Rhinolophus ferrumequinum: one gene and its partner. The protein of the gene in region 1 interacts with the protein of each later gene in a biochemical or structural test. Links are inferred from orthologs where the notes say so. Each region holds a gene or a part of one and is shown on either strand. Other genes may lie near its edges.

Region 1 (7,405 bases):
GATCTTTGCTTCTTCCTGCTTCTTTTGGGTTCAGACCAATGCAACAAAACATGGTTTGTAAGTTACCTGTTTTCTTTTCTTTGTGGTATATACATCCTAAAGAGGACTTCAAGAGGTTTTCTGCAATAATCATTATTTTAACAACTTTTAAAACCTCACCAATTTTCTTCTGCCAACGCTTTATAACTATTCTAATGAATAAATGCAAATACTTGATGAAAGAGAAAAAAAGGAACCTGACATTTTATTCTACAAATGTTTTCATTGGGCCCTTTCCATAAAGAGTGAACTTTGTGAGTTCATAAAACTTACAGCTGGTGGGGAGGGTAGTTAAATAAGTATTTGCAATAAAGTTTCTGGCAGGGAAGAAACAGGAGATTCTGGAGCTGGTCACCTGTCTTTTCAGGAGGCTTGGAAAGAATTGCCTGTACCAAGGAATTGGAAGATATTTGCAAGTGAAGCATGTTGGAAATGCTCACATCACCTCTCTCGTTTTGAATCAAAAGCCTGGTGGAGACAGTTGGCCCACGGCCCTAGATGTCCCTTTGGCACCAACATCCCTTGACCAATCCCAGCTTGCCTACCAAGTGTGTTCAGTGGATTTGAGGACATCCAAATACCATGGAGCTGCAGACCAGAGAAATGGGTCCATCCCAATCCTAGATGAGCACCCAAGGGTTTGGGGACAGAAGCCCTTCATGACTATGAAACCACAATCAAGTGAAGGCTGTCCGTTCACCACTGGTCAATGTGCCAGTATGAGGCTGGCACCTCCTGGATGGTTCTGGAGGTGACAATGTGGCAGTGAGCAAGGTAGGCAGACAGGAAGGGTCTCTGACCCCTGGAGCTCCAGTGGAGACTTCCAGGTAACTAAAGGAGAAGCGGAGGAGATAAAGTAGGACACAGAGACAGGAATGTGAGAGAGACGCTGGGTTTAGAGGGTGGCTGGCCATGGGGCAGCACTGCAGAGGCCACGTGCTGGAGAGCGAGACGGGCCAGGCTGGCTGGGGACAATGGCCAGGTGGTCTGAGATGGCAGAGGCCAGATCTACTCGGGGGTGTGAGGGGAAGGTCTCCTGGATTTCATGCCACTCACGAGGAGAAGTGATTGAGGGGTTCCAAGCAGACAAATGACACTCTGTGGTTTACCTGTTAAAAAAAAATGCCCCTTGGGCACAGCAGGTCCTGAACATCTTGCTCTGGAATGTTCCATCAAGAGTTCCAAACATCAAAATAAAAAAGTATTAAGAGCAAATCCCCATCCTGTGACTCCAGTCCCTTTAGCCCATGGGGGCTGGTGACCTCTTTTGCTAACAGGAAGATTAACTTACTACAAAGTGGGGACAAACCTGTTTGCCTGTTTGACAACTACAAGAATAAGACTGACTGCCGTACAGAGAAGTCTCCCATCCGAACTGCATACTGAACTGGCAAGTTGGTTGTGAGTTCAGTGATACCCTCTGATCACGGAAAAAAAAAAAAGTCTTAAATTTCACAAGCTGTGCTCAAATATATTTTCTCAGTTCAGATCCTCAGCTAGAATAATACTGAATTTCCTTATGTATCAGGAAACACTTTTTTATGGTAACTTGTCATATTGTCTATTTTTTTAGACATCGATAAAGTCTTTCCTTCATGTGATATTAAAAATTTTTTTTTTAAATAAAAAAAATATCACTTGCTGCCAAACAGAAAATGAAGGGAGGCCTGTAACAGTATAGAAAGTACAGAAAGAAGGGGACAGACAGGACACATTTTAGAGGGAAACACAACAGGACTTGCTAACAGACTGAATCAAGGGATGAGTGAATGGAATGGAGGCTAATTCGTCCTTTGTAGATGGGACCACTCCCTGAGCTATGAAAAAAGCCTGCGGGTGGGAAAGGTTTGGAAGACCCCAAAATCTTCAGGCACAAAATTAGGTGTGAGGTGTGTGTACTTTTAATCTAATTGTTTTATTCTGTCTGGACATATGCAAAGATAAACAAGTCAAATCACAAAAAACTACTGAATGTTAACGTTGCCCAAAACTGTGCATATTCTAGTTGTCCCTTTATAATGTCCAGAGAATTTTCATACAATATGAGTGAGTGGCAAATGCTAAAAAGAACGTATTTGGTGAGCGGCTCAGTGAAAACAACTCCAGGCTCCTGTTTCCTTACATCCCACTCCTGCATGGGGATGCTTTTGTGGGAGGGAAACTTCCTGGCCTCGAACTGTGAAGGGGCAGGTTGAGCGGGCCTCAAATGCTCCATCACTATCTCCCTCTGCCCCCCAGGACCCCCCTGCCCCCCAGGATCCCCCTGCCCCGGACCGCACTCACCTCCCCGCGCCTGCCAGGGAAGTCGCCCACAGAGACCGCCATTGAGACGCCGGTTTGTATTGGCCAGACCCTTGCTTGGGCTGGAAGCAAACCTCAGACTTCGAGGAGGGTGACGGCGAGCTCGGCCCCCCCACCCCCCGCATCGCCAGGCCCGCCCCGGGCAGAGAGAGACGCCGGGCGGTCCTTCCCAACACACATGCACTCACACTCACGCACTTGCACACGCGCGCTCCCCACGGCCCGCTCCAAGTTGAAGCAAGGGGTTTGCAGCAGAGGCTGCGCAGACCGGTAGACACCCTGGTGTGTTTTCCTACTTTTGTCTCTTGCCTCCGCTCCCCCCGCCCCGGCACCGTCCAGGGCGAGGTTTCGGGTTCCGCTCCGGGGTCCCGCACACCCCCACCCCGCGGGCTGCCTGGGGTCGCAGCGCGGCGGGAGACAGCCGCACCGTGAGGCTGGGGTCGCCCGGAGCCCTCGGTCGCCCCTGGGCAAGGGCCACCCTGGCCAAAGCACGCGGCCGCCGCCGGGGCGCGGGCCTGAGCTGCGGGGCCCAGGGCTCCACGCGGACCGGCCGCGGGCTGCAGCCGGATTCCCGGGCGGGACGGGGCGCCGGGCGCGAGGCGGGACAGCGCTTACCTGCGGCGGCGGGGCTGGCCATGCAGGCCCCGCGCTCTCCAGCGGGCCGGGGCCTGGCCGTGCCACTGCCCTCCGCCCCCGGAGCCTCCGGCCGCGCGCGCCGGGGCCGGGCCGGGCCCAGACGCACTTCCTCAATCCTGCGGCCGCCAGCGGGCGTGGAGGGCGGGCGGCGCGAAGAGCGCGCAGGGCGAGGATGGGCTGCAGCTGGTGCTCCCGGAACCCGCCGGAGGAGTCCCGCCTCAGTTTCCCTGCTCGGAAACCGCAGGCGATCCAATTTACCGCTCATGCCCAGAAGATGACAGGGCCCACGGGTCCTTCTAGCGTGACGTCCCCTCCAGGTTTGGGTACCTTGCTCCCTCCACGCATGACACACGCGGCGATAACATGGGTGGGTTCTGGGCTCAACCCAGTTTACGCTGTCCCTCTGCCTTGCCCAGCCGCAAAATACGCGGATTCACGTCTGGCTTGCGTGTGGTTGGCCATATACTTTGTCGGTAAATATTAAAAAGAGAGGGAACATTCATTTGTGTTCAACTCTTTATAAGGCAGTATAGAAATATGGATTTTTAAAGCTTTAATATTTGCAAAGGGCACCCCTGCCACCGCATGAATTTACCAACTTAATTCTGGGTGTATATGTCAATAGGTCACTATTTGGTGAAACATTTTCAATTGGGGTTTTGCTGGGGGGCGGGGATGTAGATAAAAGATGTTGGCAATTCATTATGTTTCAACCTAATATAAATATATGATCACACCATGGAGGCCATTATCGAAACGCAGATCATAGAGAAGCACGTCCACAGCAGGCCAGCATCCGACTCAGCTCCACGAGCCCATGGGATCAAGAGAAGCCTTCATGGAACAAAGCAGAAGGTTCTGCACCCTGGCGGGACCCGCACCCTAGGCTCCTCTCATGCAATATTGTGACTGGAATATTCCCAGGATTTAGCACAAGGCACAGAGACAAATGGCCACCACCCACATTGCCATTTCACAAAATCCGGGCCTGCACCTCGCGGACACGCCCGGCAGTCGCCACTTGGAGCTGTTCATTGGGCCCCGGAGGGCAAGGGGACCACCGGGCAGCGTTGCTTTGCTCCCACGAGGCCCCCCCTCCAGCTCCCCTGCTACAGGACGCCCTTCCAAATGGTGCATGCAGTTTTGCAACGCTGTTCTCACCACTGCGGTCCTAATTCCAATATGCAAAAGGCAGCAGTGAGATTGCTACGGAAGTGTCCCTAATAATTTGAAGGGCGTGGCGGCGCCCGCAGGCTGAGGGAGCTTGGCCACGGTGGTGCTGCGCCTCCAGGGCGCGCAGCCCCGCCATCTAGCGGCGCTGTGAGGAAGCGCACGCCCAGTGCCAGGGCAGACAGGAGAGGACGTGGCCCCTGCAGAGGGGGCAACTCAAACTTCCCTTTTAAATGAGCTTGGGAATAGGCCAGGAATGTCTCCAATGTAGAAAACGGCCGGGACATCAGACACACGGGTGGACTCTTTCGAGCTGGCTCTGTCTTAGCATTTAATTCTGTTTCTTAGGCATGAGTCAGTCACAGTTTTGCGTGGGAGGGTTGTCACAGGTCAGTTTCTTCTTGAACGCCGCTGACCCAGGGTCCGCTACCTTTTGCTCCACATCCTACCAGGATTCTCAGCATCTCATATGGGAATGACTGCTTCTAAGGTGGGGTCACCTGGAGGCCACCTCCATGACCCAACATTTCTGCCTTCTGAAAGCACAGTGGCTAACTGCCCGCCTCCTTCTTACCCCATGTCTTCTCATCATCTTTCTTCAACTGTGTACTCAGTTTCCTCAGACATTCCTCCTTGGATGCTTCTTTAAAACACCCCTCATTTTTCACCTTCAAGCTCGTTAGCCACATGCGAGGAACAAGGATATTAAAAAGGCTCTCGTCTCCCATCAGGAAAAGCTAGGGTATTTACTGCAAAGTGTCCATCCACTTTCAGAGAACCTTCTGGGTCCCACCCCCCACCGGCACACAAGTGGACGAAGTCACACACACATGTCCCCAGAATAGTTCCCTTCAGAGAGTCATGTTTTGGTAAACCAAATGAAGGAAAAGGTCGTTCCCCTAGAACTTTCTGTTCCCATTTAATTGAGAAATGGAAGTTTTCTAAATACATCAGTGCATTCATACATGCATACATCATGAGGGATCGGATCCAAGGCCCTCTTAAGTTTCCTCTTAAAGGGTGGTGCCTTGCCACTGCATGGCCAAAGTGACCTGGAATCTCAACATCAAAGGCACAGGTTGAACTTGGTAGACCTGACCACATACAGGGAATGTTCTTGATCCCGCTGCAGGGTCAGCTCTCGACTCGGTGATGGAGGCATCTCGGTTCGAAGCCTTAGAAATTTAGGTAAATTACGCCCTCATCCACAGTTACGGAACGTAGTGTTTTCTTTGAATCCCATTCAGTCTTCTCCACCACTTTGCACATCACACATCGTCATCACTTAATGACAACAAGAGATTCCAGCAACTTAGACGACAGTTTAAACGTTGCCAGCTACGACGCAGAGCCTCTGAGGCCGAGCTCACTGCCTGGTTAACCCCCAAGGCCATAGAAGTCGGCGTCACATTCATGGTAAACGCTAGACCTGACCAAATGAGCAAATGTGATTTTATTCTTAAGTATTGATACTGCTTTTCACAAGCCATTTTGAACAGAAGGTCTAAGAAAGAGAAAGATCAGCCACAGAACTGAAAAGGGTTTAGTCCTTAAATGAAAAAAATATGATGTTTGTCAAATATCCAATTTATTTTATCATCACATTGTTAACACAATCTGCAGTTAGGATCAGAATTCCCAGGCCAATCGATTTTTAAGCCATACCACAGGAGTAAACCTTCAAAGAAGTGAAATCTAATACTATATAGATTTCCATTTCTAAACACAGTATATTACAGAAGGTTAAATATACCACCTCTGTTTACTTACAACTATAAAAAGATACATTATCTATACCAATTATAAATAATGTAGCATTTCATATTAAAGGCATTATCGTACATGAAAGAATAAGAACCCTCTAATGTATTACTATCGAGATTAGTGTCTATAATTACTTGAGATAAAATCCTGAAAATTCAGTGTATGAGTCAAATCCTGATTTAACAAGTTACTGACAGTATAAGTGATAAGCGTTAACTGACGTAGAGGAAAAGAGGAATGGCATATTGCATATTTCTGACAATGACGACCCCATTTCATATACGACTTTCTTCATACACACACTGGTTTTGACATAGACCTTCATTTTATTCTGGCCCCCCGCAATTTCATTCTCAAACATAAGCACCATTCGAAAAGTACTCGTTCGGAATTGTCAAAGCATCCGCAGAACACAGTTCAAATTTGGTTTTGCTTTTTTTAAAGCTGTATGGGAACACTTTCCATTTTCCAAGTTAAATCTTGGAATTGCACAGGAGTTGGATACACAAAATGGAAATGGAAAATTCCCAACTTGTTTAGTGCAGTAACAGACAACTTTGATGGGAGACCCAATTCCTCCATAGAATCCAAGTGTTATTTGTTAATTAATCATGAATTAACATCAAAATAGGACTTTAACAAACCAGGGCTTTCCAGGTGTGCATGGTTTCCTAATCTAAAATGGATAACCCGACTGAAGTAAAGGAAAACTACATAAATCATTAAAATGCAAGTGGCAGAAATGCGTAATTTGTAAAAGCTGATTACAGCTCTGGTTTGTAAACTGCAGGACTTAATTATCCTAGGATTTGTTATGCTGCTGTGGTGTCAGAGCGCTGGTTCCTTAGCTGGGACTGTGACACTCGAGACGCTTTCTGCCTCAGAAAGTGCCTTGGTTAAGGTAGCCCGCGACATAGATTTAGATAAGCTCTATGGGCTGGTGATTCAGTCATATTCCAAAGGCAGTATTTTTGGATGTCAGCTGAGTCCCATGGTCAATGTCAAGATTTAGTCCCCAAAGACATAGGGTCATCCCAATTCTGCTTTCCTTCCTTTCTTTCTTTTTCCTTTTTTTTCTTTTCTTTTTTTTTTAACTTTGGGCTATTGCTTTCCCACTAAACAGTGGGAGGGGTGCAGGCACAGGGCCCTGTTTCCAGAACACGCACGGAGTTTTCCCCAAATTCTTACCGGAGTCAGAGTCAGCAGAGCATTTTTAAGCGACTGCTGGATACTTCAAATACCACTTCCTGTTGACAACGCCCTGAGCCTCTTAACTGTCCCGGGGATGGACCTGGTTGAAAAGGGAGCACAGAAGTTGTCAACAGTTCCATCCCCAGGCAGGACTGCAACTTCACACCCAACCTATTGGTCAACGAAACAGGAGTGCGAGAGGAAAATAAAAATCGTTCACGTCCAGGAGATGTAAGGACTCCAGAAGAGAATATGCCAGGAAAGTCAGAAATGCAGTTTGTTTCTTCAGCAAGGTTGACCTGCC
Region 2 (7,963 bases), on another chromosome or scaffold:
ATGCAAAAATCAGACATCATTCAGAATTGGTTAATGAAAATCAGGAGATCTAAAGGAATCACCTTTTTAGCAGGAATCAAAACAGACTAGTGTTATGGTAATATGTTAGAAAACAAATGGAATTTCTTTAACAATTTGTAGACTGCTGCCAAACATCTTAAAGCATTTTAAACATCATGTACACCTGTTCAAACTCAATGACATAATGCATTTAGCATAATTCTGTTTTCAGTTTCATACAGAAAAAGTTTCTACCAAAATTGACAAAATTAGTACTGAAAAGGAACTATAAATGCAAGGTTCTAAGTATAAACTACAGTGGTACCTCAGTTTTCAAACGTAATCCACGAGTTCTGAAATGTTCGCAAACAGCCGACAGCTAGGCGCCTCAAGATCTTGCACTCAGCGGAAGCCGTGTGACATATTCGACTTCTGAGTTGTGATCGAAAATCGAAGCATTTACTTCCGGGTTTACAGCGTTCATAAACCAAACTGTTCGTCAACGGAGACGTTGGAAAATCGAGGTACCAATGTACTTAATACACTGCTTTATTAATCATCTTTAATATGAAATTAACAGTTTTCTAGTTTTTAACAATGTAGAGCTCTGTGACACTGTCCCTTACTCTAGTTTTCAATACTGTAGTTCTCTGTTACATTATCCACGTGGTTTCAAATAAACTTTAGTGGATGGGCATTCGCATTTTCTCTATTTTTACTTACTTTCTGAAACAGTTCCTTAGTTTTTCGGTTAATATTATTAATACTTACTTTTTTTTAATTAAAGTTTATTGGGGTGACAATTGTTAGTCAAGTTACATAGGTTTCAGGTGTACAATTCTGTAATACATCATCTATACATCCCATTGTGCATTCACCACCCAGAGTCAGTTCTCCTTCCATCACCATATATTTGATCCCTTTTACCCTCATCTACCACACCTTTCCTTCAATATTACTTAAAGAAAGCAAAGCTTACAAAAGTTTAAAATTACGAGAAAAGTCCTTAAAATGAACATATTAATCAGTCTTTCCTCCTCAGCTCAAGGGTTAAAAACGTTATATTTTAATGACCTGTACAGAGTCATCAGAATTTACTTTATATTAATCAACATTAAAATATAATAATACTCAAAACCAGAGGCTTTTAGAGATGAAAACTTGACTGCATTTGTACCTATCACACACAGAAATTATTCCAGTCTGAGGACAATGACTCAGCTTGAAGACGGAGGGGCAACACCCTCACTGCTTTAAAGAAAAATACTTTCTGATTAGGGGAGAGAGAGACACCTGATATGGTTGAGAACATGCCCTCAAAGTTCTAAAGACCTGGGGACATGCGTGTGTTGCTTGTTATGCTTTTATATAAAAATAAACATTCTTCAGAAGGACAATACATAGCTGAGGGCACTGATCTCTAGTTTTGCTCCACTTTCTCTGGGGGGGGGGGTGGGAGTTGATGTAAAAATATTAATGTTAAAAGTAATGGGGAAACATTACTTTTGTCTCATTCCATTTGTCTCTTTGAGCAGAATCCAGAATGTGGTTTTGGCTCATGTTTGTCTAACAGCTGCCATCCATGAAATCATTGTGGGTGGAGTTTCTCATATTCTCACTCCTTTCTTGTGGTAGTAATAATAATAAGTGCCTCATTTGCTAAGATATACTGTGGTTGTTAATACACTTCCTTGGAAAATAGACACCTCTTCTTGCTTTGGTATATTAATCGATGGAGATACAGACAGTGCAATGCTTCTTAAAATTTCTGGCTCACATACTCCTATACTCACCCAGAACCTGGAGAAAATTATGAAAGAAAATTCTGTGTAGTTTCTGGGAGTTGTGGGTGCGTTCATAAGATTTTCATTTAACTACATCTGCACACAATTTACACAGTAACTTTAGTGACACAAAAGTTTATAGGAAGTACATAAAAGTTTTTCATACACTGTTAAAGGAAAAAAAGTACTTCCAAAATTTAACATAAATTATTTAGAAATTCTATACAAGCCTACCACAATGTTAATCATTTACTAAAATCTTAATCAGTTAAGAGGGAATAACTGTGACTATCTTATGCTTTCAGGCCAATGTCTAGCACTTTCAAGATGTCAGCACAGTGTCTACTATGGAAGGAGACTAAAGTTAGTGCTGAATACAGTATGTGGGGTTATGGGGAAAAGGGAAGCTGCGGTGTCTTTATTCCACAAAGTACATAGCTATCCTTCACCCAGCAGCCCATTTGTCCTTCTTCTCTCTAATCCCTACTATCAGATGGATTCCTGCATTTTTACACTTTTTTTTTTTGCTCTGAAGTGTTCTGGAGCAAAGAACTGATCAGTCACATAGGGGACCGCTAAACTACTGCTTCTCTTAAAAATGCATAATAGGAAAGTAAGTTAAAAACATTTGGGAAGACCGTATACCGGCACACAGAAGGTTCTAGAAGTTCTGTAGACTCGGAGTGTCACTGTCCCTAATCTCAAATGACGTCACTGAACTTTTATCTTTCCTTATTTTTCTCCGCTCCCAAACGTTCAGGTCTGTCAAGGAACATGTGGCCGCCAATAACGCGCTCACAGATTTTGCTTAAGTCGAATGCGTTTCCTCTCAAGCGAGGAAAGGAAAATCCACCATGAAAACAAAACTGCACCATCTCCATAGAAAACAAGTCCCAAGCAAGCAGCTCCCCTTGCTGCAGCCTGCCCGGGGGCTGTGCCCGGGCCGCCCCGCCGCGCACGGCCCCGGCCAGCGAACCCGCCGCCGCCTCACCTGAGCTCCAGCTGGTCCAGGCTCTCCAGCAGGCGGCTCGAGCGGTCGGCCATGGAGGAGGAGCGGCAGAAGCGCCCCTCGTTGGCTTTCGCGTTGATCTTCGCTTGAGCCATCTGAGCCTCTGAGGCGGGGCGGTCGAGAGGTCACCGGCCTCTCCGGTGGCTGGGAGTGGAGAGCTCCCGCGGCCGCAGGCGTCGCCGTCACCGCGCGGGGCGCCCGCCTCCCTCTGACGCCCGCGGGGGGCGGCCCGACAGGACGCCAATACCGCCGCTGCCGCGTGGCCAAACAAGGACAGGCGCGCCGCGCGCCCGCGGGGCTCGGGGGCTGCAGAGCCCGCTAGGGGCAGCTGCCGCGGCTGCGGGAGGGCACTAGCTGTCACCGGGGCTCGAGGATGGGCCCTTAGGGTTAGGGGGCCTGAGGAGCAAAACCAGGCGGCCTCTGAGATACCTGGAAGGACGAACGCACCAGGCGGAGGCCCTACCGTGATCCGCGCGGGTCCTTCTCTGCGGACCCTGGAACCCAAACCGATGCGGAGAAGCACAAAACGCCCCGCCCCCATCCCCGCCACCCCTACCTCCGTGAGGCGTCGATTCTCTGTGCAGCCCCCGCCAAACCACCTCCCTACACGCTGAGGGACCTAACGGTAAGCTGTGGATGTGTTACTCGGTGATGGCTTCGCTTAATTTCTCCCAGCCCCCGTAATTCACAGCAAACACCAAAAACGTTAAGTCCATGGATATGTGGAGAAAAGGTCCCTTTGTGAAAAGCCATTTAGTACAGTTCCTCGTCAGTCCATACTTGCTTGACCTGCCCTGTTACCACTTTCCAGAAATGAGAATGATAGCCTGATAACACCACTTAAGGTATAAGGGAAAAAAGAAAAAGTGACCCCATCTTTCTCTTTCCAGCTGGATGTAGGAAGCAAGGGAATTTATAATAATACTTCATTTCTACCCATTCTAACAAAGGAATTTTTAATGAGTTTTTTTCCTATTAAAAATGATTTCGGTTGGAATTTGGGTGAAATAATTGGTATGAAGGCCATTTCACACCCAATTTATGTAAATCTGTCAAGAATGAAAAGATGCAATAGATCACTAGGTCAGATATAAAGGTCAGTAAAAGTGGGGTAGAGCTGGGAGTACAAAGATTTATATACTTAAAACCGGTGATTTGCTCCCATCTCATAGCTATACTTCATATTGTGAGGATGAAAATGAACAAGGAACATAAAATGATACATAACAGTTTAAAGCTGAATCACAACCTTTAATCTGAGATCAAAGCCATTTAAATACTTGAACAGAGGTGAGGCCCTTCAATCTGGATCCCAATTCCCTCTAAACTCAATCTAAACACTAATACACTATTGGTGTAGGGGATTACTTGACCTCATTAAATATATTTTGTCATATCATGACACATACTTGGAATCTGAAGACATTTTGTGGTTTAAAAGTCTATCAAGTAATTTTAGAATCATCCTGGACTCTTTTTTCCCCTCATATACTAGACCCAATCCGTAAGTAAATCCCGTCAGCTCTACCTTCAATTCAGATTGTGTCCAAATTCGTCCCCGCAATTCCACTGCCACCACTCTGGTCCCAGCCACCATCAATTCTCACCTGGATCGTACTGCAATATCCTCCTGTCTGGTCTTCCTGCATTTACTCTTGCCTCTCATATATATTCTCAATACAGTTAACTACCGTAATCCTTTGAAATAAGGCAGATCACACCACTTATTCTCAGAAACCTTCAATGGCTCATTTCAGAGTAAAAGCCAAGGACCACAGAAAGGCCTCAGCAACTTCACCTATTACTCTCTTAGCTCATACTAGCATTCCTGCTTTTTCATGGGTATATCAAGCTGACCTCTAGACCTTATCACCCTCCATCTGGCACTTTTTTCCTCATACATATTTGCTCACTCAGGTCTTTGCTCAAGTTCACCTGGTCAGGATCCTTCCTGACCACCCTATTAAAAATAGCAAGCCCTCTGCCCCCACACTTTTCTTCCCTTCCCCATTTTCCTTCATGACATATCAACGATTGGATACACTTACTTATTATCTATGATAACACTATCCAAACTCCTCTCTCCCAAAGTGTGCTCCATAGCAGAGCAATGAGGACTTTGTTTTGCTCACTGGTGTATCTCAAGTGCTTAGAGCAGTCACTGGCACATGGTAAGTACTCAATAAATATTTTGAGTGCGTGAATGAGTGAATAAATGAATGATGTACGGAAAAGATAGGATCTTTGTCGATGTTCGAGACATTTACTTGGGTAATTTAGTAATCCATATAACTTTAATGTCACCCATTGATTACATCTCTTCCTTGTATCTTAATTAAATTCAAATTATGAAGTAATTTAAAAATGATTTTTAATTACTTAACAAGTAGAAACACAATCAGTGACAATTATTAATTAAAACAACCCAATTACCTTTTTTTTTTAAGGGTCATGATGAAAAGATTCAGTTACTCTCTACCAGCAAAAGCTTCTTAATAGAGCTCAGTATATATCACATATGTATGTGGCACCTCTGGCAGAGAAGTATTGGTTCCTCTCCGCCATGTCTGTTTAATCACATTTCTTTCTGGAATGTCCTTTCTCCTCACTATTGAGCAAGCTCCTGTGGATGTCTTTAATGTCTGACTCAGTGACTACCTCTTAAAGCCCTGCTTGATCAGTTTAACATACAAATTAAAAGCACAATGTGGTCATTTTGGGAAAATAATTGGTGAATTCTCACTCTACAATGTCAACTTAAAAAAAATGCAAGCAGGTACATTGACCTGACATCTTAAGAAACAAAAACACAAACTGATTTCTAATGTGGATTGAAAAGACTATACTAATAAAAAAAACAGCAATGCTATTTCACAATAAAACATGTAACTGCAGAGAAAGAACAAAATTCTAGTCATGATTCTTTTCTTAAAAAAAATTATATTTATAGAAAATTTTAAGTTTGTTAATTACTATTCAAAATTTTTAGGGATGACATTTCTGGTCAATAACATGAAGCATATACACAAATATAGTATGACAAGCCCTTCTTAGTGTTCTAATTATGTAATATTTTATTTTTCACAATGGGGCCTCAACATTTAAAAATTAAATATGTAACACCAAATATAGAAACCTGACAAACAACTTAATGAATAACTAAAATGAAGATACTTTTATATGAAATAAAAATTTTAAAGGGTTAAAGAAGATTATTCCTGAGTAAGACTTGAACATTATTTTTTAAAGATTATGTTTACACAAATATATAAAAAGGACTGATTATTAAAAATAAGTTTAATTCTATGCAAATATTTTGACACCATTCCCTTTAAACAGTAGGTAAATACAAGTCACATAAAAGTCTAAGCAGGTAAAAGGAATAGAAAAGATTTCTTTATACTTATATTAAAGAAATTAGGGTGTTCTTTTTTATTCTAGCAATGTGCAGCTCTAATTAAAGCAGGGAAAAACATCGGAGTGAAATCCACAAAGAACATTGCTGGTAAAACTTTTAATCTATTTCTATGATCAGTTACCATTACTCTCTTCTAATAATCACAAAGATCTCAAAGGTATTCTATATATTAGTATCATATGAGAAGTAGAATTTAAGAAAATCTAAGCTTTGAAGGCTTTATTTATATTCATTTTCATTCCTAAAAAAAATAAACTAGAATCATCTGTACAGTACAAATAAAGAACTAATGCTATTTGGGAAACAAACAATAGTTGACAGCTTTTGTATTTTTTAATTCTTTTAACTTACATATATGAATTTAAAGTTGACTGGTAAAGTAGTACCTATATTAGAATACATGATTTACATTTGCATTGACATATATTCTATTCCTCTGTACATATTCTCAAAACAGCACAAAAATACAAAGCAAATATCAAAATTTGAACATGAAAAAGCAAAAAAAGCATGTTTTCAAACACATCTGTACTAGTAGAATTCTGGCCTCCTTTAGAAAACAAACTCGAGTTCATTATCCTGAGTCTCTTCAAGGCTACTTGATGTTGTGTGGTAATATCTTTAATTACATTTCCTCAAGGCTTCTTCTAATAGCTTCTTCTAATTCCACATCTGCATTAAAAAACAGAATTTTAATACTTAGGGCAGAAAACTAAGAAATGTACTTTATGTAAGTCTCATCAATTACATGTCTTTTCAAAAAGCAAAGGAAAATCAAAATGGAGAAACAGGATAACTTGGCAGTTTCTCCATAATAAAATTTGAATATTTCAAAACAAGGGAATCTGGATATATAACCTTAGACTGAATTATAACATATATGAACATAATGTGCTAAGGAACTTGCGAGTTATTTCCATTTAGGAATGTAGAAAGTCAACAAACTTCTAGAATCACTGATAGGTAATCACTAAATTCAACATTAAAAAAAACCTATGCACTTATTTCCAAAAAGACTTCAGGTAATGCACATAAAACTTTAAAAACAGAAACAGAAAAGCAAAACCATGAAAATGCAAAATCTCACAGGCTATTAAAATTTTAGTTTTAAGCTTTCTAGCATCTAAGGCAAAGATTGAAACTCATGGCTATATAATATCTTCTGAGAAGCATGTATTATATACACATACGCATTCATTTAACAAATATTTATTGAATGCCCACTGTATATCAGGCACAGAAATACAATAGTGAACATGACATTCTTGGGTTCACGTCTTTCTCCATTTCCTCTCTAAGAATGATACTGAAGCCCAGCAGGTCATGGAATTAAGTTCAATTTCTTGGCCTTCACCAGCTTCTTACACCAGATTTATCTCATCCCATTTAGTCTACAGTCTCTCAGAGCCTACTTAGTTCATAGGACCAGTGATCCCTCTACGATGCAATTGTACCTTCCTATGAGCTGGGGCACTGGTGTTATGTTGTCTGTAATCTAAAATACTACAACCTAGTATACACTGTGTTTTAAGTTAAAGCTAGATTCTAGGGCTGTGAATTGTCCAAGGATGAATTCAAAGGGATGAAGTACAAAGAAAACACAAGACACTCTTAGCAAAGAATAAGGTGACAAGATGAAAAAGTATTATAAAGTTACAGTCATTAAGAGTATGGCACGAGTGCAAGAATAGATGAATAGACCTAAGGAACAGCATAGAAATCTCAGAAACAGACCCATGCATATGTGGAAAC

What was found.
Region 2: the proteins of LRRK1 (region 1) and BAG2 form a complex in vitro, tested with the Homo sapiens proteins (2 studies listed by BioGRID and IntAct, with this or other methods). The link is inferred for Rhinolophus ferrumequinum from reciprocal best matches to the Homo sapiens genes LRRK1 and BAG2.

The regions. Positions count from the first base shown.
Region 1 is NC_046311.1:12,590,874-12,598,278, reverse strand, and holds the start of LRRK1 (leucine-rich repeat serine/threonine-protein kinase 1), read right to left. Parts: upstream 3,078-7,405; 5' UTR 2,978-3,077; coding exon 2,956-2,977; intron 1-2,955.
Region 2 is NC_046286.1:24,054,574-24,062,536, reverse strand, and holds the start of BAG2 (BAG family molecular chaperone regulator 2), read right to left. Parts: upstream 3,045-7,963; 5' UTR 2,889-3,044; coding exon 2,776-2,888; intron 782-2,775; exon of another isoform or gene 1-781. Other genes in the region: E3 SUMO-protein ligase ZNF451, read right to left, coding at 6,837-6,883. UniProt on the Homo sapiens protein: Co-chaperone for HSP70 and HSC70 chaperone proteins. Acts as a nucleotide-exchange factor (NEF) promoting the release of ADP from the HSP70 and HSC70 proteins thereby triggering client/substrate protein release.